Oryctolagus cuniculus: one gene and its partners. The main gene of each other region encodes a partner of the protein of the gene in region 7 in a complex. Links are inferred from orthologs where the notes say so. Each region holds a gene or a part of one and is shown on either strand. Other genes may lie near its edges. The genes, in order: DRC1, GAS8, DRC12, IQCG, FBXL13, IQCD and EFCAB2.

Region 1 (3,500 bases), on a different chromosome or scaffold from region 7:
TTCAAAGGGACAGACACGTGGCCCTTTGAATCGGGAACAGGATTCTGGAACCACACTGTGGATTCTGGTGCTCCTTGTTGTTTCTAGGCCAAGGGACAGAGCCCAGGGTGTGGAATCATGTTTTGATGATGAAATAAATCCGGAGTTCACCCTAACCATCAGCAGGGTGCCAGGATGGTCATTAACCTTATCAAGTGTATCTGCTTTCTTGCAACTTGCAACTCTTGGTGCTCAGTGACTCCAAAATAATTACTCTCCCAAGAAAATATCAAGCCTACCAGCAACAGGTGAGAAGTAGCAACAGTTGAGATCCTTTGTAGTCCTTTTGTTCTTGAGCCGTGTCCCACTCTCCTTGTACTGAGAGCAGTGCATCCCGCAGCCACCTGGAATGGCCTGTGTGGTTACGTCAGCAGCTGGATGCGCAGCGGTTCTTCTGTTATTGTTGTTGTTGCTGCTGTTCCATTTTACTTTTATTTTTATTTATTTTTTAAGATTTATTTATTTATTTGAAAGTCAGAGTTACACAGAGAGAGAGGAGAGGCAGAGAGAGAGAGAGAGAGAGGGAGAAAGATGTCTTTAATCTGCTGGTTCATTCTCCAATTGGCTGCAACTGCCGAAGCTGTGCCGATCCGAAGCCAGGAGCCAGGAGCTTCTTCCAGGTCTCCCACGTGGGTGCAGGGGCCCAAGCACTTGGGCCATCTTCCACTGCTTTCCCAGGCCTTAGCAGAGAGCTGGATTGGAAGTGGAGCAACCGGGTGTCCATATGGGATGCTGGCACTGCAGATGGCAGCTTTACCTGTTATGCCACAGCACCAGTCCCAAATTTTACTTTTGATTATTAGGATTGCTCTTTATAGTTTAATTTGTTTTGCAGTTAAGTAAAATATTTACATGCTTCCAAAGTCAAATGAACAAAGAGATCACGATTTACTCTCTGCACCCTATTCCATCCCTCTCTAACAACGGCTGTTACAACCCAGGGCTTCTGCTTCCAGTGCTTGTTTAAAAACTACACACACACACTCTCACACACGCACACACACGCACATGCACACACACATGCACATGCGCACACCCATGTACCCGCGCGTGTGCACAAAGCAGCAGGTTTTTTAAGTGGTCCCTGTGCCCACTCTCCTTTCTGCGTGGTGGCTCTTGCTGTTGGCCCTCGCTTCATGTCAGTAACGTTCCTCAGAGGAAGCCCCTTTGCCTCTCTCAGCTGGCTGATTTTAAGCTGCTGCAGGTTTAGAAGGCAGTGGAGGATGGCCCAAGTCCCTGCACCCATGTGGGAGGCCTGGAAGAAGCTCCGGGCTCCTGGCTTCAGATCAGTGCAGCTCCAGCCGTTGTGGCCATTTGGGGAGTGAACCAATGGATGGAAGACCTCACGCTCTCTCTCTGTAACTCTGCCTTTCAAGTAAATAAGTAAATCTTAAAAGAAAAGAAAGAAATAATACAGCACACCTACCAGGCTCACCATCCCTCCCCCTGCACCTCCTGGTTCATGGATAGAATTTTTCTATTATTATTTGCAAGGTATTGGGAGAAGGAGAAGGAAAGATAGAGAGAAGGAGAGAGGGAGAGAGAGAGAGAAAGAGAGAGAGGGAAAGAGGGAGAGAGAGAGAGATCATCCTCTGGTTCACTGTGAAATGCCTGCAAAAGCCAGGGCTGTGCTGGGCCAAAGCCAGAGCCAGGACCTCCATCGGATGTCCCGCGTGCTCCCTCCTGGCTGGCAGGAACTCGGCCTCTTGGGCCGTGGCCTGGTGCTGTCTCCCAGGGTGCACATTAGCAGGAGGTTGCAGCGAGAAGTGAGAGCCAGGAATGGAACCCAGGCACCGTGGTGTGGGCACGCTCGCGTTTGCCGGCGTCTGCGCAGTGAGGCTGCATGCCTGCTGGACTCCATGGCTGGCCTGTGGGGATGGGGCGCCCGGCAGGTGCAGGTGGAGGAGTGAGGTGTTAGACAGCCCCAGTTCTGAGCCCAGGCCCCCTCCCTCACGCGGTGGGCTTTCTCCTACTTCCTGAACTTGCGGCTCTTCCTGCAGTGGGCAGCCACTGATGGGGTCTCCACGAGGCCTTTCAGGAGGGAACTTGGCTCAAGAAAAGCCCTGTTTCTGCAAGTCCACAGGCCGAGAGATGACCTCTTCTCTGTCCCCTCTCTGTGGCCTCTGCAGAAGAGGAAGGGGCAGAAGAGGCCGTCTCGGAGGCCGAGTCCTACCTGGACCTGCCCAAGCAGATTTCAGCAAAAACCACCAGGAAGATCCTGATGCTCCTGTGTGACGAGTCGGTGAGGCCGGGCTGGGCGGCGTCGGGGCTGGGCGGGGCCCGGAGTCGGGAGTAGGCGCCCCACCCCGGCCATGGCCGGGCACCAGGCCTAGAGCTTGCACCCCGCGCCCAGCTGGCCCAGCTATCAGGTGGTGCTGCCCCTGGGGCTCCTCAGGTTGTGGGCCAGGCCAGCCGGCAAGGGAGGCTGGGCGTGCCCACGCCCCCGTGCCCACGCCCCCGTGCCTGCTGCCAACTGCTCATTGTGAGATAGAGGGGGTGCCGGCCGGCAAGCCCCATCCCCCGCCAAGTGGTGAGGCCCCCTGCCTTGTGGCCCTTCTTTGGGGGCGCAGCTTCAGGCTGCTGGACGTCTGTTAGGCTTGGGCATCTGCACCGGGTGTCAGCGACGACACTTAGGGCTGGTTCAGCCGCGCTGAGTGCTTACTTAGAGTGTGTGGTTCTGAGGTGCAGGGAAGTGGGGGAGCAAGGATGGGCGGCCTCTGTCCCCTGGGGACAGCTGGGGTAGTTTTCTGTGGCACCGGGGCTGAGGGAGTCAGCTGGCAGGGCCTCCCCTCTCTGCAGGCTGCGGGGAGCCCGCCCCAGGCGCTCAGGGCCCCCATGCCCGCCTCGCTCCATGCCTGCCCCTCGCCCAGCTCGGCATTCTGCAGCACTTGGGGGGTCAGTGCTGTGACCGGGTCGGGTCTGGACCGCTGTGGGGGGGGCCTGGGTGTGCGCCCAGTGGCTGGTGGCTGAGGGGAATGGGTGCAGGGCACTCATGTCTGAGGCAGGGCAGGCCCTGGCCGTGCCCCTGCAGAGGCTCGGGCATGCGCACAAGGCCTTGCTCGCCTCCTGGGTTTTGCTCCTGTGCGCAGCCGCAGGCTGAAGCCCCCCTCTGACTGGAGCCACCTTCTTGCGCCTCCTCAGGGTTTCCTCATAGAGAGCAAGCTGATGAGCCTCCTCCTGCCCCTGGAGACGAGCGAGTGCTACCTGCTGCGGTTGGACGCCATCTTCTCGGTGAGTGCCGCGGGCCGGGCCGGGGACAGCCCCGTCTGCCCGACCTGGAACTCGTCTCCACCCTGGGAGTAGGCAGGGTCTCCCAGAGTGCCACTGGGCTCCGGGCTGCCCTGCCCTGCCCCTGCACGCAGCCATCAGCCATCGGCTTGTCCCCGGGCTGCACCCTGCCCGCGTCTCTGGTGCGCCCTGGCTTCGCAGTTGTGTGTGCAGCCGCCTGTCATCAACTTCTC
Region 2 (4,133 bases), on a different chromosome or scaffold from region 7:
ATTCATACTGAGGAAACTTCTCAAAAGAAACACAAGAGCTTCTGGCTCAAAGATATTTAGCCTCAGCAGTATTATAATAGCAAAACTAAGCAGATAAATAAAAGTAAATTAGAAGAAGCATGTAAACATGTTCACAAAATAACATTAAGTGAAAGAACATTCACTTTTCAAGGCACAATGTCAGTAAAAGCACAGAGAACCAGAAGGTTCCTAACACAAGAGGGTTTGGCCCACAGCCTATTGCAAAACTACAAATAGGTCAAAAAAAAAAAAAAAAAAAAAAAAGTAGGACAGGCTTCAGCTTTCCTGGCATCTCATTCCACTTAAGACTTAGTTATAGGGCTGGCGCCGTGGCACAGGTTAATTCTCCACCTGCAGCACCAGCATCCCATAAGGGCAATGGTTCAAGTCCTGGCTGCTCCTCTTCGGATCCAGCTCTCTGCTGTGGCCTGGGAAAGCAGTGGAGGAAGGCCCAAGTACTTGAGCCCCTGCACCCATGTGGGAGACCCAGAAGAAGCTCCTGGCTTCAGATCGGCTCAGCTCTGACCATTGCAACCATTTGGGGGAGTGAACCAGTGGATGGAAGATTGATATTCATATTGATATATCTCTTTCTCTCTCTCTGTAACTCTTGCAAATAAATAGAATAAATCTCTAAAAAAAAAAAAATAAAGACTTAGTTCTCTTTCAGGTATAGCCACAGGTCACTTTCTGTAAAGTTTGTTCTCTCCTAAAACCTTGTCCCCGAGGGAAACCACTACGTCTTACTTGAAGAGAAAAGGGGGCGCAGCACAGAGGACTTCGGCAGGGCAAAGGCCTCTGAGGGAGGATGCCACCCCAGAATCTCACAAATGCTGCAGCAAAATGGCACGTGTCACCAGGTCACAGAACAAACAGTTAAACCAGGGTACCTAGCTGCTCTGTGTGGCTCACACAGAGTTAGATCTCGTCATCAATCAACACTTAGATTTCTTATAAATATCCAGATTTCTAGCTTCTCCTGAAAAATTAGAAAACAGCACTAGAATCCAATAGACTGCGCACATGTCCTCAGCAGAGGGGCACGCGTGTCCAGGTGATGCCAGTCCCTGTCCTCACTCCTGGACTGCACAACGTGCCGTAAACCAGGCCTGTGTCAGGCCTGCTGCCGCGGCAGCTCTACCTCCACAGGGAGCAGACAGCAGCACAAGGGTCGCTGCAACGCCCGTGCACCCACGCTCCCCCGCCAGCCTAACGGACCCGCCCACACCACACCTCTGCCGGCACTGCGTGGTCTTCCCGCACATCCCTGGAGCACCCCTTCGCACTTCAGCTCCTTCATATTCGGGCTTATTAACCCTGCCACCTGAGTTCACACAGCACCCTCAGGCCCCAGAGACACTCACGGGGGGGCGTCCCGCCAACACGGATGCCACAGGACACACCGCGTTTGCCACGTGTCCCAATCGGAAGTGAGATTTTAATGACATCATGATGTTCTCTAGCCCTTTACACCAAAATGGACAAGCAGCTTAAAATGTCTCAAAGTAACTACAGACATCACCCCATGCCCCAAATAAGAAGGCCACAACGAAGGCAGCCGGACACTGTTCCTCCTTGTTGGAACGTTTGTAAAAACAAGCACGAGGGACCAGCGCTGTGGTGCGGGGGAAGCTTCTGCCCACGTGGTCATGGGTTTGAGTCCTGGCTGCTCATCGTAGGATCCAGCTCCCTGCTAATGGCCTGGGAAAGCAGCGGAGGATGGCCCAAGTGCTCGGGCCCTGCACCCACGTGGGAGATCCGGAGGAAGCTCCAGCTCCTGACTTTGGCCTGGTCCAGCCCTGGTTGTGGCCATTTGGGGAGAGAATGAGCAGATGGAAGATCTCTCTCTCTTCACACACACTCTCTCTCTCTCTCCCTACCCCCCAATTCTTTCAAATAAATAAATCTTTTAAAAAAAGAATGATTAATCAGACTCAGACAATGTGATTGAAGTAAGTCACGTTCTGCTTAAAGACTTTCTTTTTGCTATAGTGCTTAATAGGAAATAAAATAAAAGAGAATGCGCTGCATGTATGTGCTATGGGAACAGTTCTACAAACACCAGCTACCTGAAAGGGTTACAAAAATAGCATTTAAAAATATTTTCATTTTTTAATTATCTGAGAGAGAGAGTGCTCCCATCCACTGGCTCAGTCTCCAACGTCCACATCAGCCCGGACAGGGCCAGGCCAAAGCTGGACGTCAGAAACAGGGGCCCAGTCACCGCACCCATCGCTGCTGCTTCCCAGCCTCTGCACTGCAGGAATCTGAAGTCAGGACCCAGGGCGGGCACCAGCCCCAGGTCCTCGGATAAGGGACACGGTGTCCTAACCACCAGGCCAAACACCAACCCCGGAAAACAGCTTTCCTACCAGGACACCATGTCTTTCCACATTCCTACCACCCTGTTAGAACACGGCTGCAGGCGGCTGCGCGGCACGCGAGCAGACACGCAACGCGCTGGAGAGCTGTGGGCACACGTGGGCACAGGGGCGGCAGACGGGCTCGGGAAGCTCACCTGCTCCTTGCTCATGTCCTCCGGCGCGAGTCCATCGACGATCGGGGTGCCCTTGGCCTTGCCCTTCTTCCCTTTCCTTTTGGGAGCCTTGTTTACAGAAGAGAAGGTTGCTTCCATCTTTGTTGACGGTTACGTGGGGTGACCACGTAGGGTGACCGCCAATCGGCCTTCCCCCTGGGCCGGCTGGGCTCGAGTCCCCGCTGCAGAACGTGCCCCTCTCTGTCCAGGGCCTTGGGGTGCCCGGAAGAGCACTCACGGAGCGTGTTCATCTGCCCTGCGCCTCAGCCACACGATTACCCTTCGGCACACATGGCGAGGCCAGAGAGGAACGGGCTCTCCTTCCAAAAGGCAGGCACCCATTGCACACCCACTCACCCCTTGGTATATGCTCATAAAGGAAGACCCCTAGTCCCTCGCTGATGTGACCGGGTCGGCCATAATGCCCGGTAACCACCGCAGGCAGACGTAGGGAAAACCATCAGTCCTGGCCATCTGGGGGTTCCTTTTCCCGAATATGAAACTCCACCGAGAACCCGCATCTAGACAGCCTGGGCAGACGGCACCCACTGCGAGTGATCACGACCGGGCTGAGAGCAAGGCTTCTTCCCCAGCCCAGGGCGCCCAGGCTCGGGCCGGACTGAACTTTCAAACCCTATCCTGCCTCTCTTACTCCCAACCACCCTCCATGCCACGCACTTGCAAGACTTACTGCAAATGTCACATGCAGATTCGAGAGAAAGAAAACCGCCCACATTCCCGCAAGCTTATTTTGATGTTCCCCCGTTGCTTTTCAAGACTAGCAACTAGCACCGTAACTCCTAAGGTACCGGGCCGTCCGCGTACCCCCCACCCGCAGGGCTTTGGAGGAAGATTCGGCGCCACTTCGCGGCCCGCTGCGGGGCCAGCCGCGGCTCCCGGAGCGCCTGGACACGGGCCCCGCACGCTCTGAGCGCCCAGCGCCCCAGCGCCCCAGCGCCCGGAGGTCCTCGCGCGCCGCAGCCCCTGCGAGGCGACGCCCCGCCACCCAGGCGTTCGAGTCTGCACACCGTGCAAGCCGGGCGGGCGGGGCGGGCGCGAGGAACACCCCAGCGAGCGCAGGACGCGGGACAGCGCGGGTCCCACAGGCGCGCCGGGATCCCCCGCAAACGCGAGGCCGGCACCTCAGACCCGGGGCCGCCTTCGCTGGGACGCCCGCGGCCGGCACCGCCGACGCCGGGCCCAGACCCCGCGGCGCGGACCCGGGCCCCGACTCCCGCCAGTCCTCACCATGGCGCCGCTGACCGGCCCAGCCGCGAACTCCACGCGAACGAGCCGCCGCCGCGGCTGCGCCGTCTCCCGGCAACGCCGGGCGAGCGCGCGCCCCGGGAATCCTCGCGGGAATCCTCGCGAGACCGCGCGCGGGCCGGGGCCGGGGCGTTTCCGGCAGGGTGCGTGCGGCTGCCTCCCGCGCGGAGTGCGGGGCGCGAGGACCAGTGAGCACCCGAGGGCCCAGCACGACCGGATTAAATTCGCGCCCAGCGTCGGCCCCTGGGGCCCGCCCGTGAGGGGCCGTTGGCCACGAGCCTCTGAAAGACGCCGAAAGAGAGTTCCAGCG
Region 3 (4,004 bases), on a different chromosome or scaffold from region 7:
TGTCCTGGGAAAGCAGTGGAAGATGGCCCAATGCCTTGGGCCCCTGCACCTGCCTGGGAGGCCTGGAAGGAGCTCCTGGCTCCTGGCTTCGGATCAGTGCAGCTCCAGCCATTGTAGCCAACTGGGGGAGTGAACCAGTGGATGGAAGACCTCTCTCTCTCTCTCTCTCTCTCTCTCTCTCTCTCCTTCTCTCTCTATGTAACTCTGACTTTCAAATAAATAAATAAATCTTAAAAATAAAAGACACCTGGGGGCAGGGCACCCCACCTCTTATTCTTTCTCTTTCTCTTTCTGTTTTTTTTTTTCTTTTTAAGTATTTATTTTATTTATTTGAAAGGCACTGTGGCAGAGAGAGAGAGACAGAGACAGAGAGAGAAAGATTGTCCATCCACTGATTCACTCCCCAAATGGCTGCTATGGCTGGGGCTGGGCCCCAGTACTTGCACCATTACCGGCTGCTTTCCCAGAAACATTAGCAGGAGTTGGACTGGCAGTGGAGCAGCCAGTGGGATGCTGGTGTCGCAGGTGGTGACTGAACCCATGTCACCACAATGCCCGCCCCTTTCTGTCTCTCCAGGTTGTTGGGTCATTTTATTTTCCTAGGATCTCATGAGCTTTTCATTGCTAAGGAGTAAAACCTCCCTCCATGTTCTGGCTGTAAATAATAGCGTCCCTCATCAGCCTTCCCTGTCCTGTTCCACTAGGGGATGGTTAGGGTTTGGCGTAGCTTCCACCGTGGCTCCAAACGTCCAGTCCCGCCAGGACACAGCAGCGCCCCCACTGCTCTGCTTCTGTGGTCCCAGATAGCTCACCCTTCTTACCCAGCCGGTCTCGGAGCAGCTCCGTCTCCAGCACCAGCTGTCTGTGCTTGGACTCGGCCTCCACATCTGTCCTGGCAAATGACAGAGCCTTAGCTTACATGACCCCCGCCCCCGGCCCTGGACTCCGTCCTGAGCCAGCTCTGAGGGCTCCCTGCGGGCAGAGTCCATTCAGCATGCACCGTGTGCTCCCTGCCCAGCACAGATGAGGCATTCAACATATGGGTGACCAGTGGGGAGGCACAGAGCTGGGCGGTCTCGAGGGAGGGCGTGGGTGACCATTCCCCCATTCCTCAGCTCCGTGGAATCTGGACAGCGAGGACTGTGCTGCGGGCCTCTGCTTGGTCTCTGTTTCAGAACCCAGAGAAACGGGCACCCACCCCCACCCACGACGACTCACCCGGCCCTGGGTTCTTTTTCTTCTTCTGCACGCCGGCTTTCCTGCCTTTCTGTTTGGTCTTGGGTGGCATTTCCTTGCTGTCCTGATGGAGGGAGGGGACCTTGCTTTCAAATCTGGACAAGGGGATCCTGAACCAGGAGTCTTGGGAGGGTCAGAAGTCTGCTTTCCAAGTCTGCCCCTTTCTCTTGTTTTAAAGACACAAGTCTTTCTTTTTTAAAGATTTATTTATTTCAAAAAAATATTTATTTAGTTGAAAGCCAGAGTTGGGGCAGGGGGTGGAAGGAGAGATCTTCCATCTGCTGATTTAGTCCCTAAATGGCCCCAGTGGCCAGGGTTGGGCCAGGCAGAAGTAAGGAGTCTGGACCCCTGATCTCCCACGTGGGTGCCGGGGCCCCAGGACTTGCCCATTCTCTGCCGCCTTCCAGGCACATTAACAGGGAACTGGATCAGAAGTGGAGCAGCCAGGACTTGAACTGGCACTCGAATGGTACTTTAGAAAGTTCGTGGGATACAGACTGGGCATTCGGTCTAGTGGTCAAGACGTCCACAGTCCATATCAGAGTGCCTGCTGCACTCCTGGCTGCAGCGCCTGACTTCTGCTTCCTGCTGCAGAGACTCGGGGAGGTAGCAGGGTGATTCAAGCAGGTGGATTCTTGCCACCCCCTTGGGAGAACTGGACTGAGTTCCCAGCTCCCAGCTTTGGCCAGGTCCAGTCCCAGCCATTAGGGGAATTGGGGGAGTGAACCAGCAGATGGGGCCTCTGTCTGTCTTTCTGTCGGTCTCTCTCTGACTCTCAACATAGTTACAATTAAGGGAGAAATGAGAACAACAACAACAACAAAAGAACAAAAAAGTTAATAGAAAATACAGTTAAATCCATTCACAGTTTCTTTCTTTTTTTTTCTTTTTTCTTTTCTTTTTTTTTTTTTCTTTTTTTGACAGGCAGAGTGGGCAGTGAGAGAGAGAGACAGAGAGAAAGGTCTTCCTTTGCCGTTGGTTCACCCCCCAATGGTTGTTGCAGCCTGCGCGCTGATCCGAAGCCAGGAGCCAGGTACTTATCCTGGTCTCCCATGGGGTGCAGGGCCCAAGCACTTGGGCCATCCTCCACTGCACTCCCTGGCCACAGCAGAGAGCTGGCCTGGAAGAGGGGCAACCGGGACAGAATCCGGCGCCCCGACCAGGACTAGAACCCGGTGTGCCGGCGCCGCAGGCGGAGGATTAGCCTAGTGAGCCGCGGCACCGGCCCACAGTTTTTTTTCACAATACACATGTTCTATGAGCTTTTTGAACATCCCTCAAATATACTTGGAAGAATTTTTTGCACCAAAATAAGCTTGTCTTTTAATTACATTTCCCACAAACCTTTACTTTCCAGAAGCTTCAGTTGCCGGTCTCCTTGGAGCCTCAGGCGGGGCTGGGGTCAGTGGGGAAGACACTGCATACAGAAAGCTGTTACTCTCAGCTCTCTTGGCGAAGATACATTCCCATAGCTGTCCCCTCCCTCTTGCCTTCATCCTTACCTCACCTCCACCACTTGTCAGACCCTCTCTTGCCTGTGTTGGGTCTCCCTGTAGAGTGAGCCACTCGTGGGGAGAGACAGAGAGAAGGCCCAATAAGCTAGGAGCCTGAGGAGGAGCCTGCGTCCTGGGAGCCAATCCAAGGCAGCACATTTTCCTCAGGGGGCTGGACTGAGAACTGGAAGGTTGGGTTTCTGGAGGTTGCATGTTGCCCAGGCAACTGAGCAACATGGAGTTCATGAGAAGGTGCAATAGGCCAGATCAACTCACAATGCCTAAAAGACCAAGGTCTGGGAAAGGTAGTTCTCCTTTCATCCACAAATCCTAAGCATAGTTTGAAAAGAAAGGGCTTTGGAGCAAACTAGCTGTGATTCACTTCCACGTAGGTGCTGTCATTTGGAGACTCAGAAATGACAGATTTGCACGGCTGAGACAACACTGTTGTGCGGATGTGGAGGAAAAGCGTGATGGCAGCCGTCTTGGACGATCCACATCCTGAGATCCTATTGCAAGATGACCTTGTGCTGAAACCGGAAGCGTCCCTTCGGCAAGGCATTCTGCAGGGTGCAGGAGCAGGTGCTGGGGCAGACTTCCAGAAAAATGAGACACAGAGGAGTGAGGACCCGTAGACTCTGGGGTATTGGCTTGGCGGGATGGACACTGGTTAGGGACCAAAACTGCAGCACAGGCCCCCTCTCTGGAGGTGGAAGCTATTTAACTTGGTTTAGCCTGCTTCCTGCCTTTTACATCACGGAGTTGGTAAATTCTGAAGGTCCTGGGTCTTGACTGGGTATTTACATGACTGTCTTATTGCACCCACTGAATCTATTGCCTTTAGGTGGTTGATTTTCAGAAACTACCTTGAGGGGCTCCCTGTACCATAGAGTTGGTTGGGGCTCCCTCTAGTGGACTCGCTTGTATTCCCAAGTCTGCTAAATTTTTTTTTTATATAGATTTATTTCATTTATTTGAAAGGCAGAACGACAGATACAGAGAGAGACAGAGATCGTCCATCTGGTTTTCTCCCTAAATGCCAACCACAGCCATGTCTGAGCCAGGCCGAAGCCAGGAGCCCAAGACTCCATCCAGGTCTCCCACATGGGTGACAGGGGCCCAAATGCTTGGGCCATCAGCTGCTGCTTCCCAGGCGCAGTAGCAGGAATCTGGATTAGAAGTGGAGCAGCTGGGACTCAAACCAGCACTCTGATATGGGATGCCCGCCATGCAGGCAGTGGCTTAACCTTCTACGCCACAGTATCTGCACAAGGT
Region 4 (2,167 bases), on a different chromosome or scaffold from region 7:
GAACCTTCATAAGGCTACTGGATATACTTGCCGGCAGCATTCAGAATATAAGGACACCTGAAGTCAACAGTACACTCCTGATTCAGGGTTTGAAAACTAATGCAACAGGCAAAAAGAAACCACCAGCCTTCCCTTGCCGAGTCCAAGTTAACCTTGGATTAGTTACCTGTGGTGCAAAGAGATCATTCTCCCTCCAAGCACCCCTTCCCATCTCTGGAACACCAGGAGAAAGGACAGAAATGGCTCAGTCACTTCTTGCCTCTCCTCTTGTCCTTGTCTTTGCCTTTGCCTTTTGATTCTTTGCTATCATCTTTCTCCTTTTTGGGCAGTTTGAAGCCACCAATTTCCTTCCGTATCACAGTGCCGCGCCACCAGGCCTGAAGCTGAAAGACAGGACGTGTGAGTACCACCTCTGGTGGGCCTTCCACCTAAGGGGGTTTTTGAACCAGGTAACCTGTGTCAGAGAATGGTCTCTGCCTAGGACATGGAAGTGGCTAGGTACCCAGTCACCATGGCAATGCTTCCCTGCTGCACAGGACCCAGAGCTAAAGCCATGGACTTGAGTTAAGTTCTTGAGGACTAAGGATACAGGAAGGAATCTGTTTTGCCAAATAGTCCTTCCCACTTAGATACCTGACTTCCTTGTACGGCTGCTTCCTTTAATGGACACCCAGGTGCCCCATAACCAACAGTGTTTGGTGCTTGGGCAGGGGGAAAAGCAAGCACTCAATCAAAAATGTGCAGATGAGCCCAGATGACCTTGGGCTTCCTGGTACATCTCCTATCTGTAGTAACTGAGTAAAGGACCCATTTGCCTCTTACTCTCAAAAAGGATCTAGGGAGGCCGGTGCTGTGGCTCAACAGGCTAATCCTCCACCTGCAGCGCCAGCACACCAGGTTCTAGTCCCAGTCGAGGCGCCGGATTCTGTCCCGGTTGCCCCTGTTCCAGGCCAGCTCTCTGCTGTGGCCTGGGAGTGCAGTGGAGGATGGCCCAAGTGCTTGGGCTCTGCACCCGCATGGGAGACTAGGAGAAGCACCTGGCTCCTGGCTTCAATCAGTGCAGTGTGCCGGCTGCAGCGCGCCAGCCCCAGCGGCCATTGGAGGGTGAACCAACGGAAAAGGAAGACCTCTCTCTCACTGTCCACTCTGCCTATCAAAAAAATAAATAAAAAAATAAAAAAAAAAAGCTCTAGGGAGCTCCCTTGAATACCTCTGTTAGATGTAACTGTTCTGAATACACTGTAGTCCACTTTAAAATCAAATTAAGTGGGGCCAGTGCTGTGGCACAGAGGTTTAACATCCTGGCCTGAAGTGCCGGCATCCCATATTGGTGCTGGTTCAGGACCCGGCTGCTCCACTTCCCATCCAGCTCTCTGCTATGGCCTGGGACAGCAGTGGAAGATGGCCGAAGTCCGTGGGCCCCTGGACCCGCGTGGGAGACCCAAAAGAAGCTCCTGGCTCCTGGCTTCGGATCAGCACAGCTCCGGCCATTGCAGCCAATTGGGGAGTGAACCATCAGATGGAAGACCTCTCTCTCTGCCTCTCCTCTCTCTGTGTAACTCTGACTTTCAAATAAATAAATCTTAAAAAAAAAAAAATCAAATTAAGTCCTAGTGACTGGGAAGCAGATCCACCAGTGAAGAGAAATATAAGTGGCCTTCAGCTTCTTTACATTTTTGCTCTAAATAGAAGAATCCTGATGGATGGAAAACTCCATAGAAGCTTGATAAATACGTGCTAACTATATAGACCTGGCTCAAAGAAAGCTCGGGTTGGGTCTGCGTGCCTGGTCCCAGGTGTACTTGAAAGCTGCTTGCCCACCAGGGCTCAGCAGATGGCCCTCCTGCGGGGAGAAGGGCAGTCTGAGGACAGCATGTCAGTCCAGCTCACAGGACTTCTGCATCACCATTTTTGCCTGAAAGTATTTCCCAGGAACTGTGAGCTGCCACAGTTACTAATATACACAAGCTCACACATAACTAACTAGGGTCTTTAATCCCTAACCCGCTTCTATCAGAACCCAGCAGTCTGATTTGCAGACAAGACTTTAGGGAGCAGTACATTCAAAGGAATCATTCTGGCAAGAGCTGGTTTGGTTAGAAATCGCATTCCGGGGCTGGCACTGTGGCGCAGCGGGTTAAAGCCCTGTTCTGAAGCACTGGCATCC
Region 5 (3,500 bases), on a different chromosome or scaffold from region 7:
TTTCAAATAAATAAATAAATCTTTTTTTAAAAAAAGAAGAAGAATGGGCAAAGACCAACTGTTGAATGTACAACTCCTGTTCATTTGTTTTACCTTATTTAAAAGGCACAGAGACAGGTAGAAACAGAGACAGAGAGAATGTTCCATCCACTAGCTCACATTTTTTTTTTTTTTTTTTGGACAGGCAGAGTGGACAGTGAGAGAGAGGCAGAGAGAAAGGTCTTCCTTTACCGTTGGTTCACCCTCCAATGGCCGCTGCGGCCGGCGCACCGCGCTGATCCGAAGCCAGGAGCCAGGTGCTTCTCCTGGTCTCCCATGTGGGTGCAGGGCCCAAGCACTTGGGCCATCCTCCACTGTACTCCCTGGCCACAGCAGAGAGCTGGCCTGGAAGAGGAGCAACCCGGACAGAATCCGGCGCCCCAACCGGGACTAAAACCCGGGGTACCGGAGCCGCAGGCAGAGGATTAGCCTATGGGGCCACGGTGCCGGCCCACTAGCTCACTTTCCAAGTGTCCTTGATAGCTAGGCCTAGGTCAGGCTGAGGCCAGGATCCTGAAACTCTATCCAGGTCTCCCGTGTGGGTGGCAGGGATCCAAGTACTTGTGCCATCACCAGCTGCCTATGAGGGTGCACATTAGCAAGAAGCTGGAATTGGAAATGGAGGCAGGACTTGAACCCAATCACTCTGATAGGGGATGTGGGCATCCCAAGCAGCATCTTAACCCTGCACCAAATGTCTGTCCCTTTGTTTAAATATTTGTTTTTGGCATCCTTATGACCTAACAATGCCACCAAAGTTTCTGTTTTATTTGTTCTTTTCTTTTTTTACTGATTTAATTAGAAAACAGGAAAGCAAGACCAGTAGCTATAGTGAAGGCACATACCAATAGATCTCAAAGTTCTCGGTCGGAGAACGCAACCACGGAAATTCAAACGCAGCACATTTAGACGCCACCTGTGCAGTGTAGTCACGATATCTTTATCAGCAATTATATTTTTCACCATGGAAAAGTCAATCTGGACAGGATAAACAAAGACATTAAGAAATGAAAAATACCTATGTCATGTAAATATTTTAAATATTTTAAAATGTCAAGTACTAAAAGCTCTTCATCACCTAATTCCCCAATAGAAAAAAAGTGTGAAATGTTAATCTGAGCGCTCTATTTACTAGAGTATGCAAATTTCAAAAATAACATACACACATATACATGCACTCACACATGCACACACTATTCCTTTTCATTCTAAAAATGATTTAGGTTGACGGATAAAAAATACAGTGAAGTAGGATAAAAAACACAAATGCAATTGACTTAACATGAGTCAATCGATGTCCAGTCTCGTGAATTGAGACAAATTAAAATAGCAACGAGATATCAAATATCAAAGAGCAGAGATGTTAAGAAAAGTTTTGAAGCAGAAGGTACGCCATCATTCTGTACACATTAATGATTCTAAATCCACCTTCATCCTAATAACTCCACCTCCAGGAGCTGGCCCTGAAGATATGATCATACATGTGTGTCCTGGGAATGAGGACAGGATACCCACTGCAGGAGCTAACAGCAGAAGACAGGGAACAGCGTACCTGCCCTCCAACAGAAGACATGAAATACACTGAGGGCTTCCACACAACAGAACGCTGGGCGGGGCATGGCAGCATAGCAGGTGAAGCCAGCATCAGCTTCCCATATGGGCACCAGTTCACATCCCGGCTGCTCCACTTCTGGTCCAACTCCCTGCTAATGACCTGGGAAAAGCGACAGAAGATGTTCCGAGCACTTGGGCCCCTACCAACCACGTGGGAGAACTGGAAGAAGTTCCTGGCTCCTGGCTTCGGACCGGCCCAGTGCTGGCCATTGTGGTCATCTGTAGAGTGAACCAGAGGATGAAACATCCCTCTCCCTCTGGCTCTTCCTCTCTCTTTGGAACTCTGACTTACAAATACATAAATAAATCTTTAAAACAACAACAAACAAGAACACTGGACTGAAGCTGACTTTAGAGCAAAGAAAATACAACTCAGAAGGAGAAAACCTGATTGGACGATTCAATGGAAGGACAAAATTTACAACATTTAGAAGATGTGCCGGACTCAAATCCTTCATGAATATGACTCCTTGATGCCAACATTTTTATGAGACTGGGATCTGAGAGCTCAAGACTATATTACAAGAACTCGAGGAGCCGAAATTTTATGCTGCCTGCTAGGTGGAAAGCAAATGGCAGGTCTGGCAGTCCCTTATAAATATTTGCTAATCAAGAGCACACACTCTGTAGTTGAACAGACAAGTATTTGAATTCCATCTTGGCCACTTAACAAGTTGGGCAGTTTCTTCGCTCAGCCTTAGTTCTGTCATCTGTAAAGTGGGAAAAATAACAATGCCTAACTCTGCAATGGATAAACTGAGAAAAAGGCAAGTAAGGTGCCACACAACTAGCACTCAATAAATATTAGCTACTATTATTAATTCAAAAAAATAGAACAGACCAGCACAAAATATAGAGTAAGGAAATTTTTTAAATTGAGCATGGAGTAAGACTAAAATGTAAGTAAGAAAAACCTGTTGCCAGATGCCTTTGCATGCACACAGCCAAAAATACACTTTAGCATTTTCCAATACAGACTTCTATGCTAGTACTACATAGTACTATTCTTGCCCTAGTACTATTTTTGAAACCTGGAACAAGTTTATGTTTTTCATTCCAAAGAGACACTGGGGAGAAGACTCCAACAATTAAAACAAAATTAAAGGACATATTGGGAGCAAGCATTGTGGCACATCAGGTTAAGCTGCTGCTTGCAACACTGTAATCCCATATGCATGCCGGTTTAAGGCCTGCCTGCTGTGCTTCCGATCCACCTCCCTGCTAATGCATCTGGGGAAGCAGCAGAAGGTGGCCCAAGTGCTTGGGTCCCTGCCACCCAGTTGGGAGGCCCAGATGGAGTTCTAGCCTCCTGGCTTCAGCCTGGCCCAGCCCTGGTCATTGCAGCCATTTGGGGAATAGATCAGCAGATGTAAGATCTCTGCCTTTCAAATAAATATTTATTTTTTATTTTTAAAAGATTTATTTATTTATTTGAAAAACAGGGTTACAGACAAAGAGAGAGACACAAAGATATCTTCCCTCTGCTAGTTCACTCCCTAAATGGTCACAACAGCCAGGGCTGGGCCAGGCAGAAGCCAGGAGCCAGGAACTCCATCCAGGTCACCCTGTGGGTAGCAAGGGCTCAAGTGCCTGGGCCACCTTCTGCTGCTTTCCCAGACACATTAGCAGAGAGCTGGATGGGAAGTGGGACAGCCAGGACTCAAACCAGTACCTGTATTAGATGTCAGCACTGCTGGCGGTGGCTTAACCTGCTGCACCACAACGCTAGCATGGATCTTCTTAAAAAAATCAAATATTGTCTCCCCAAAGACTTCTCTTATCTGTTTCTTGGATGACACTGTAATCTCAACAATGATGATCACTTATGCCATCAAGTAATGAGTGGT
Region 6 (4,213 bases), on a different chromosome or scaffold from region 7:
CAGGCCCCCTAATTAGACCGACTTAGGACATTTAGCCATCATAGTTCCCCTCACTGCTCGGAGAGGGAAGTGACAGGTCCCAGAGGGGTTTGAAGCAATGACATGGGCAGCTTTGTAGCTTGAGAGAGAGTGTGTGTGGCGGGGGAGGGGAGCATGGCAGGTGCTTGTCACGGTGTAGCTTGTCACGGTCGTCCATGGAGATGCGGGTGGCCTCATCGGGGACAAGGCAGTGGCCAGACAGAGATGCACAGGGTAGGTAAAGTCCGTGGGATGAGGGAGAGGACAGAGTTCAGGCGGAGGCCTACTTTGGTGGTGTGGGTGCCAGTGAGATGGTGTGGAGGGGGGAACAGGAGTAGGGGCTGAGCGAGGAGAAGCCGCCTGTCTCAAAGTCTGCCGCTCACAGCCCCTGAGCTGTGGCCACTCTGGCTTCGACTGACCGCCCTGGCTCCAGGACCTCCACATTTGATGTTCCTTTGACCAGAGACCGATCCCCAGGCCCAGACTGGGAACTTCTCACTCCTTAGGTCTCGGCTCAATGGCAGCTCCTCCGCAGCCGAGGACAGAGAGCACACGCCAAGCCCTGCAAACCCTCTGCCCGTTCCTTGCATCATATTTATGGCACACACCTGTTGAGGTCTAATCTACCCACTGCAAGGGGACAGTGCAGACTTACAGTTATGCCACATCCCTACGAATCAGCTTTAGAACATTCCCCTCACTCCCCCAATTCCCATGAACTAATTTGCAATGTCTGGTGCCACCCACACTTCATTTATCTGGCTATTCTATATAAGTGAAGTCATATGGTATGGAATCTTTTGTGGCTTTTTGCTTAGCACAATGGTTTTGAACCAGGAGTGATTTTATGTTCCAGGGGGTATCTGGAAATAATCCAGAGTACGTTTGCTTTCCACACCTTGGAGAGGGTACTGCTGGTATCCAGGGGGTAGGGGCCAGAGACACTGCTAAGCATCCTACAGTTTGCAAGACAGTGCCTCAAAAGAGACAATTATCTGTCCCAAATGTCAGTAGGGCTGAGATTGAGAAATCCTGAAGAGCACACAGTTTTTGAGGTTCACCCGCACTGTAGCCCGTTTTCCGTATTTGATCGCTTAAGAGCATCGCATGGGACATCCACAATTTGTCTTTCCATTTCCTGCTAATGTGATTGGGAGAGCAGCGGAAGACGCCTCGAGTGCTTGGGCCTCTGCCGCCCACCTGGGAGACCCAGATGGGGTTCCAGGCTCCTGGCTTCAGCCTGGCCCTGCTCCAGCTGATGAGGCCATTTGGAAAGTGAACCAGCCGACGGAAGACCTTTTTCCTCTGTCTCTTCCCCTCTCTCTGTTACTCTGCCCTTCAAATAAATAAAAACAAATCTTGATAAAATTGTGATAAAATAAACATAAATGTTATCTTTTTTTCCATTGTATTTGAAAAGAGAGAGAGAGAGAGAGAGAGGGAGAGAGAGATTCCTTCCATCTCCTAGTTCGCTCCCCATGCCCACACTGAACACAGCTGGGTCAGGCTGAAGCCAGGAGCCCAGAACTGCACCCAGGTCTCCCAGGTGGGTGTCAGGAACCAAACACCGGCACCGTCACCTGCTGCCTCCTGAGATGTGCACTAGCAGGGAGCAGGCGTCCTGACAAGGGACGCAGGCGACTCCGGGGGCTTCTCCCCCACTGCTCCAAACCCTGCCCTTTATTTTAGTAACCTTGAAGGCCGTTACACCCCCACTCACACGCTTCCATCCCCAGAACCGTCTTCACCGCCCAGACTGTAACTCTGCCCGTGCCGCACCACCCCCCTCTCCTGCCTCCACCCCACCTTCTGGAAGTCCCCTGGGGTGTAATTTCACACTTGCCAGTGGATTATTTCTCCCGTGACTGTCTCCCATCCTAGGCCACACGCTCCCAGCGGGCAGGAGTGCCGGTCATTCTGCTTATCCCTCTGACCGCAGTACCACGGCAGGCACTTGGTTAACACTTGTTGAATTCATAAATACTTAAGGTGGGAAACAGAACACCCTGGGAGCCATGTTAAGAGGGAAAAGTCAAGGCTGGATGTATTTTAGAAAAAAATAATAATAATACTCGCTGAGCACCTGCTGTGCTGCCCAGCCCGGCGCCAGCCCCGTCACTGAGCGCTTACTCCGCTTGACACACAGCTAACCTCTGCGGCTCCACACTTGCCCGAGTGCACAGCCAGCCCCCGCTCTAGGACGGAGATGCGAGTCAGACTCCGGAGCGAGTGCGGACCCAGACGACCCCAAAGGCCCCGGGCTGCTGGGCGGAGCCGCGCTCACCCCCAGCGCCGGGTCTGACCGGGGGAAGCCAGCTAAGACGGGGAGCCGACGGGGTCCCCCGTTTCGGGTGGGAGTGGGGCCGCGAAGCGGGCAGAGCCCACAGGGGGCTGCCCTGTGGCCCCCGCGGCGGTGGAAAGCGAGGTCCAGCCCGAGGCCCGGAGCCGGGACGGCGAGGCGACGGGGCTACTTATTCCTCAGGGAGCTGAGGGGCGCGGACTAGCCCCTAACCCACTTTCCTCGGCGTCCCAGACCTCAGGGCGGACCCCGGTTACTCACCGGTTCCGAGGGGTTCCACCTTTCTCTGCAGTTACAGCGGCGGTGCCCGCGTTGCTAGGTTACCTGTCAGTCTCAGGGGGCGGGCCTCGGAGTCTGACTGACTTTGCTTTTTACCATTCAATTTCTTGTTTTGGTCCGTGAGCCCCACCTCTTGAGGTCTGACCAATCAGAAGCAACGCCTCGCTGCTGTTCCGCCAATTGAAAGACCTGGGACTTTCTCTGGGTTGGGCTGAGTGAATAAAGCGGGGCGGGTGGGAAAGGGCGGAGCTTCTTAGTCCCGCCCCTTTTTAAGGAGGCGGGCAGGCAGTCTTGCTTGGGCAGCAAACGAGAACTGAGGAAGGACGTGACGCCTGGCCAATCAGAACTCAGCATGGCAGCCCAGGTAGCCAGTAGGCCGCAGCGGAGGAGGAATGGGGCGGGGCCGGCGGGGTTGAAGGGACGGTAGGCGGTGGAAGGGAGAGCTGGCGCAGCTGCCGTGGTGGCAGCGGCTGAAGTGGCGGCAGCTGCGGCCCCTGCAACAGCTCCGGGCTCGGCGCTTTGGTGGCGGCGCCGGCGGGCTGGGCTGCACGGTGCGGACCCCGGTGCGCGGTCCGGGTTGCTGGGGCGGCGCGTGTAAGAATCCCAGGGATGCAAGGGCTTGGCCGAGGGAGAGGGCAGGGGTCGAGGGTCAGAGGGCGCGGAGTTAGGGGTTGCGTCTGGGCACCCGCGTGTGGGAGGCGGGCAGGGCGAGCCCCGAAGGAGCACGGGGAAGTCCCGGCCGTGCTGTTCTCTCTCCAGTCCGCGCTGAAGCTTTGCACCCCTTTTCCTCGCCCCTGGCTTCCTGGGACGACCCCAGCGTGGGCGCCCCGACCCGGGCAGGGAGCACGTGCAACTGGAGCCGCACTCCCTCCTCCTGCTTTCTCCCTGGCCCGCTCCTTTGCCTGGCGCCCTGGGGTGACCCTGCGGAGACCGGTGCCCGGTCGGGTTGTCCCAGCGAACAGCGGGACGGCAGCTGGCCTCGAGGCCCCAGGACCTGTCTCTAGGGGTGACCTTCTGGGCTGTCCGTGGACCAGAGCCCACTGGGGGAGCCCAGGCTGGGTCTCAGGACTCGGGTCCCAGCGCTGCTGTGCACTGTGTGACCTTGGGCAAACCCCTTTCCCTCTCTGGGCCCCATTTCCCTCTCTGTAAAATGATGGGTTCGAGTTTAAGTTGGGGGACGGTGCGGCGAGTAGGTTACAGGGAGGAGAGGACTTGGGACTGAGCTGGAGTTTACTTGTAAGAGGCAAGTTAAGCCGGCTAAGCCCCCGTCACCTGTGCGGGGTGGGGGGGCTGTGCAGAGACAGGGTCCCCCACAGCAGCACCGTGGACACTTTGAGCCGGGTGGTTCTTAATTGTTGGGAGAGGGGTCTCACCTGTGAGTTGCAGGCGGTGTAGTGGTCTCCCTGGCCTCTGCCCACGGACAAGCCCCCACCCCTGGTGAGCAAAGTCAATCCTGTTGAGAGCCCCTGAGCCGGGAGGGACATCCGTGCAAGCAGGCTGTCGTGGGTTACACAGTTAAACCTAAAATACCAGTAGGACAATAATGAGGAAATTTAGGGAGCTGTGCGCGCTGGCCTGACGGGGTTAAGAGCCTCTTGCTTTCAGAATGAATAGGAG
Region 7 (3,988 bases):
TGTTTTAAGAATAAATGAGATACAGCACACAACAATGCTTCCCCAACTTTAATGCACATATGGAGCACCCAGGGATACATTAGAACAAGGTCTCTGATTTGGTAGGTCTAGGGCAGTGCCTGAGACCGCTCATTTCTGGTAAGCTCCCAGTGACGCCCAGATTGCCTGAGTCCATTACACCTGCCATAATGTTGGGCACAAAAGTTGTTCAGCCTGGTTACCTGTCCCCTCCCATTTGTGTGTGTTATCTCCCTCACTGACCTCGATGTCCTTGTCATCTGTGTTGAATCTGCCTTCCATAGGACAAGCATTAAACAAATGACAACTGAATAAAAGACAGCCAGCTTTCACCACTTATTACTTCTTCTATGGTTATACACATAACTACATCTTCATCCAAATTAATTTTCAACAGAAAAAAGTATTCGTTGAAAACTGAAAAAAATGGGAAGCTCCCAACCTCTTTAAAAAAAAATTTTTAGGTTGATCAGATTTAAAAAAAAAAATCTGTGATGATTTTTCTCCTTTTTGGTACATAATAACAATAGATCAAAATAACATCCCGTTTTCTGGGTTAAGTCTTGCTAAAAGCAAAATGAATAAAATAAGCCTGCCTTCCCGGATTACTATAAAAATCAGTATGCCTGTCATCAAGTAAGTAGGCCTTTGGCACGGTTTCACGTTTGTCTGCGCAGATCTTCTGGGCTCACCATGACTGGGGAGCTCACGTAAACCCTAGCTGTGAGCCCAAACTACCTTTGTTCTTTGATTTAAAAAAAAAAAAAAATAGAGCTTTTCTGAAGGCTCCAAAAAGGAAACCAAAGTAGAGTGTGATTTTTCACTTCTAAGATGTTCGATTCTACGGTCTCGTAATTCTTTCGGTGTTTTTGCCAATTATCAAACAATTATTTTGGCGTGACTAAGAGGACGGTTAACCGAGGACCCGATTTTAAATCACAGCCCTGAATTAAAGACAACGTCCGGGCCCTTGAAAACTAAACGTGGATGTTAGGGATCCGCGGCTCCGCACGGGCAACACATCAATCCTCTCGGCCCGCCGCAACCCGGCCAGACCGCCCCGCGCACCGCGGCGCAAGCGCGGCCCCGCCCGCTCTCGCTTTTTCCCTCTTTATGAACAGCTGCGTGGGCCGTTACTGTTTCTGTGTTTTTAAGATGCCGGACGAGGTGCAGCCCCGAGTCCCACCACCAGAGAGGCGCGGCAGGAGCGGCTGTGACCCCGAGGCCGTCCTCTCGCGTCCTCACCGAGGCGGCAAGATGGTGGCCGCAAACGCCATCCAGCCGGGGCCGGGGCGGGGCTTCAGCGCGGGCTGAGCGGACTCCGCCAGATTTGGGCGGCCAGAACCCGTCCCCGGCCAGGCCGGCCCCCCGGTGCCCACAGCCGGGACAGCTGCTGGTGTGGCGCCTGCGGCAGCGAGACCCCGACCAGGGTGTGGAGGCGGCGGCGGCGACCGTGAACAACGACGCCATTATCAGCGTCCGCGGGCCGGCGCCTCCTCCGCAGCCCGCGCTGCAGCAGGCCGGGCCTCCGCGGGCGGGGGAGGAGGACGCCGCTGGCGGGGGCGGGGGAGGGGAGGGGAGGGGCGGGGCCCGGCGGCGGCCCGGGCGGGCTGCGGGGCCGGGGGCGGGAGGGCACCCTCCGGAGGCCACCCTTTTCCCGCGGCAGGGACAAGATGGAGGGTGGCCCGCCCCTCCCCGGCCGGGACAGCCCCGGGTCGCAGCGGGCGACGAGGGCAGCCCTCCCCTCGGCGCGCCTACCTGTACCTTCTCTATCATCCGCCATCTTGTAGCCGCGCCGGTCGCCGGGGAGAAGCCCACCGTTAACGGTTAACGTCGGTCCCGGCGTCCTTGCCCCCTGCGGGTCCCCTCCCCCGCGCACCCCCGCGCACCCTGGAGGCGGGGTGGCTCGGAATCGTGGGGAAGGAAGACCCCGGGCGGCGGTAGAGGGAACACTGGGAGCTGGCGCGCTTCCCGCCACGACCCTCGGGCGCGCGCGCCGCCGGCGGGTCGGCCGTTGGACCCGGTGTCGCCCTCCAGCCCGGGGGCCCGAGCCCGGGGACTTTGGGTCTAGGGGAGTTTATTTCACAAGGTTCCGGGCCCCTCCTTTCTCACCCCTTGGGGGCCGCGCGCGCACAGAGTGCTCGCCCCCTCCCCTCGTGTTTGCAAGACGTGGCGTTGCTTTTTTTTTTTTTTTCTTTTCCCCAAACTGCCGATTTGGAAACGCAGCCAGAGCTGCTGGGTGAAGAGCTCAGCTCCTGGGGGGGTAAGGGGGGCAGACCCGAGCCGCCCTCCAGCCTCCTCCCTCCCCATTCACAGCCGCGCTGGTCCCCCGGTCCGCGCCGCCCTGTCCCGGAGCGAGCGAGCCAGCGAGCGCCCCGCCGCCTGTGAGAACTGGGGCTGCAACGGAAAAACTGGGCCGGGCGCAAGAGGAAACCAGAGCCATTCGACTATTATTACTGCGGGAGAGGAGTCGCTGTAGAAAAACATGTGCAAAATACGCGCAAACATTGCGTCGTCAAGGCTGCGATGCCTGATACAAAATAGAAGGTTCTCCTAGCAACAAAAATGGGGCTGGGTTGTGCTCGGTGTTGCATACGTTTAAATGTGTTTTTTTCTGGTGAAATCTGGCTTGACCTGCGTTGTTATCATAGGAGTTTTCAAAAGTGCTTTCCTGAAACTCGGCAGCTGTGACAGTGTCATGGCAGTTTTTTTCTTTTTAGGCTATGTTCACTAGGATATTTTCTTCTGAAAAAGAGCTTTCAATAAAATCCTGATGATGTGTTTCAAACGAGTCATTTATTCAAACTATTTCAATGTGTATGTATTTCAGTGTGTATGTGTATGTGCTAAACAATTTGTAACATAAAACTGATTTATAAACCGGTAACCATAACTTTTTAAGAGGCCTTCGAAATACAACATATTTAATGATTTTATTAACAGTTTTTAGTGCTCCTTTTATTCTGGTTCTGTAATCTGAGTAAGCCCTAAAGCAAACTGACTGTATTCTTCATTATAAAAATACACATTTGGGGGGATGGTGTTGTGACACAGCGCATAAAGCCACCACCTGTCTCATAGGGGCTCTGGTTCAAGTCCCAGCTGCTCCAATTCCAATCCAGCTCCCTGCAAATCAACCTGGGAAAGCAGCAGTTGGCCCAGGTGTTTGGGCTCCTGCCATTTAATGAGGGAGGCTGGGTTGAAGCACCTGGCTCCTGGCTTTGGCCTGGCCTAGCCCCAGCCATTGCAGCCATCTAGGGAGTGAATCAGCATGTCTCCCTCTAAGTAACTTTCATATAAATAAATCCTTTAAAAAATGCATTTTCCTATTGAAGATATCATTTGGTGCTGTGATCAGCATTCTGTGTGAATTTGAATATAAACAATTGAATCATCACAAAATAGCTTGTATTGGAAGATAAATGCTTACATAAAATGATTCCAATTGTATATAGTATGTTCTTAATACCCAGAAATACTCATTAACATTCATTTATATTTAAATCCTACACTCATTGTGTGCTAATTATTTATTTTTAAAGGCTCTCCATATAAATAAGGAAGGGTTTGAAGAAAGTAGGAAACTCCAAATCTGCTCTCGGGCTCACTTGTCACTGCTCTGGCTTTGCTTAGCTGTTGGCAGGCTTTTTTCTTTCTGGAATGCCTGTCCCCAGCTCTCCGTGCACCAGCAGGCACTCTCCCACAAACTGCTGTCCCCTGCTGCTTGTCCTGCTGATGACCTTCAAGGTCACCTACTCCTTCAAGTTTGCCCTCTCAACCCCTTCCTCAGGGAGCTTCTCACGCTGATTTGCTATGGCTTTCCTCCCTCCAGAGGAGGGAACTGCTTCACTCAGCCATATGTCCCTGGTGCCTGGAACAACTCCTCAGTTTTTTTATCTCAAATAATACATAGATCAACAATTAAGAATTAGTCTTCACGGGGACTTGTTGAGAAGATCCACATCTACAA

Evidence for each region.
Region 1: EFCAB2 (region 7) and DRC1 share a complex: the UniProt entries of both Homo sapiens proteins name them as parts of the nexin-dynein regulatory complex. The link is inferred for Oryctolagus cuniculus from reciprocal best matches to the Homo sapiens genes DRC8 and DRC1.
Region 2: EFCAB2 (region 7) and GAS8 share a complex: the UniProt entries of both Homo sapiens proteins name them as parts of the nexin-dynein regulatory complex. The link is inferred for Oryctolagus cuniculus from reciprocal best matches to the Homo sapiens genes DRC8 and DRC4.
Region 3: EFCAB2 (region 7) and DRC12 share a complex: the UniProt entries of both Homo sapiens proteins name them as parts of the nexin-dynein regulatory complex. The link is inferred for Oryctolagus cuniculus from reciprocal best matches to the Homo sapiens genes DRC8 and DRC12.
Region 4: EFCAB2 (region 7) and IQCG share a complex: the UniProt entries of both Homo sapiens proteins name them as parts of the nexin-dynein regulatory complex. The link is inferred for Oryctolagus cuniculus from reciprocal best matches to the Homo sapiens genes DRC8 and DRC9.
Region 5: EFCAB2 (region 7) and FBXL13 share a complex: the UniProt entries of both Homo sapiens proteins name them as parts of the nexin-dynein regulatory complex. The link is inferred for Oryctolagus cuniculus from reciprocal best matches to the Homo sapiens genes DRC8 and FBXL13.
Region 6: EFCAB2 (region 7) and IQCD share a complex: the UniProt entries of both Homo sapiens proteins name them as parts of the nexin-dynein regulatory complex. The link is inferred for Oryctolagus cuniculus from reciprocal best matches to the Homo sapiens genes DRC8 and DRC10.

The regions. Positions count from the first base shown.
Region 1 is NC_091433.1:176,389,139-176,392,638, reverse strand, and holds part of DRC1 (dynein regulatory complex protein 1), read left to right. Parts: intron 1-2,168; coding exon 2,169-2,281; intron 2,282-3,180; coding exon 3,181-3,270; intron 3,271-3,500. UniProt on the Homo sapiens protein: Component of the nexin-dynein regulatory complex (N-DRC) a key regulator of ciliary/flagellar motility which maintains the alignment and integrity of the distal axoneme and regulates microtubule sliding in motile axonemes.
Region 2 is NC_091449.1:69,565,458-69,569,590, reverse strand, and holds the start of GAS8 (dynein regulatory complex subunit 4), read right to left. Parts: upstream 2,801-4,133; 5' UTR 2,657-2,800; coding exon 2,540-2,656; intron 1-2,539. UniProt on the Homo sapiens protein: Component of the nexin-dynein regulatory complex (N-DRC), a key regulator of ciliary/flagellar motility which maintains the alignment and integrity of the distal axoneme and regulates microtubule sliding in motile axonemes.
Region 3 is NC_091432.1:111,112,813-111,116,816, reverse strand, and holds the start of DRC12 (dynein regulatory complex protein 12), read right to left. Parts: upstream 2,801-4,004; 5' UTR 2,739-2,800; intron 2,654-2,738; 5' UTR 2,581-2,653; intron 1,301-2,580; 5' UTR 1,289-1,300; coding exon 1,219-1,288; intron 888-1,218; coding exon 822-887; intron 1-821. UniProt on the Homo sapiens protein: Component of the nexin-dynein regulatory complex (N-DRC), a key regulator of ciliary/flagellar motility which maintains the alignment and integrity of the distal axoneme and regulates microtubule sliding in motile axonemes.
Region 4 is NC_091435.1:82,163,111-82,165,277, reverse strand, and holds part of IQCG (dynein regulatory complex protein 9), read right to left. Parts: intron 384-2,167; coding exon 249-383; 3' UTR 1-248. UniProt on the Homo sapiens protein: Component of the nexin-dynein regulatory complex (N-DRC), a key regulator of ciliary/flagellar motility which maintains the alignment and integrity of the distal axoneme and regulates microtubule sliding in motile axonemes.
Region 5 is NC_091434.1:141,323,819-141,327,318, reverse strand, and holds part of FBXL13 (F-box and leucine-rich repeat protein 13), read right to left. Parts: intron 1,754-3,500; coding exon 1,592-1,753; intron 1,018-1,591; coding exon 885-1,017; intron 1-884. UniProt on the Homo sapiens protein: Substrate-recognition component of the SCF (SKP1-CUL1-F-box protein)-type E3 ubiquitin ligase complex.
Region 6 is NC_091452.1:10,280,515-10,284,727, forward strand, and holds the start of IQCD (dynein regulatory complex protein 10), read right to left. Parts: upstream 2,801-4,213; 5' UTR 2,579-2,800; intron 1-2,578. UniProt on the Homo sapiens protein: Component of the nexin-dynein regulatory complex (N-DRC), a key regulator of ciliary/flagellar motility which maintains the alignment and integrity of the distal axoneme and regulates microtubule sliding in motile axonemes.
Region 7 is NC_091444.1:64,976,838-64,980,825, reverse strand, and holds the start of EFCAB2 (dynein regulatory complex protein 8), read right to left. Parts: upstream 2,801-3,988; 5' UTR 1,802-2,800; coding exon 1,777-1,801; exon of another isoform or gene 1,264-1,776; intron 1-1,263. UniProt on the Homo sapiens protein: Component of the nexin-dynein regulatory complex (N-DRC), a key regulator of ciliary/flagellar motility which maintains the alignment and integrity of the distal axoneme and regulates microtubule sliding in motile axonemes.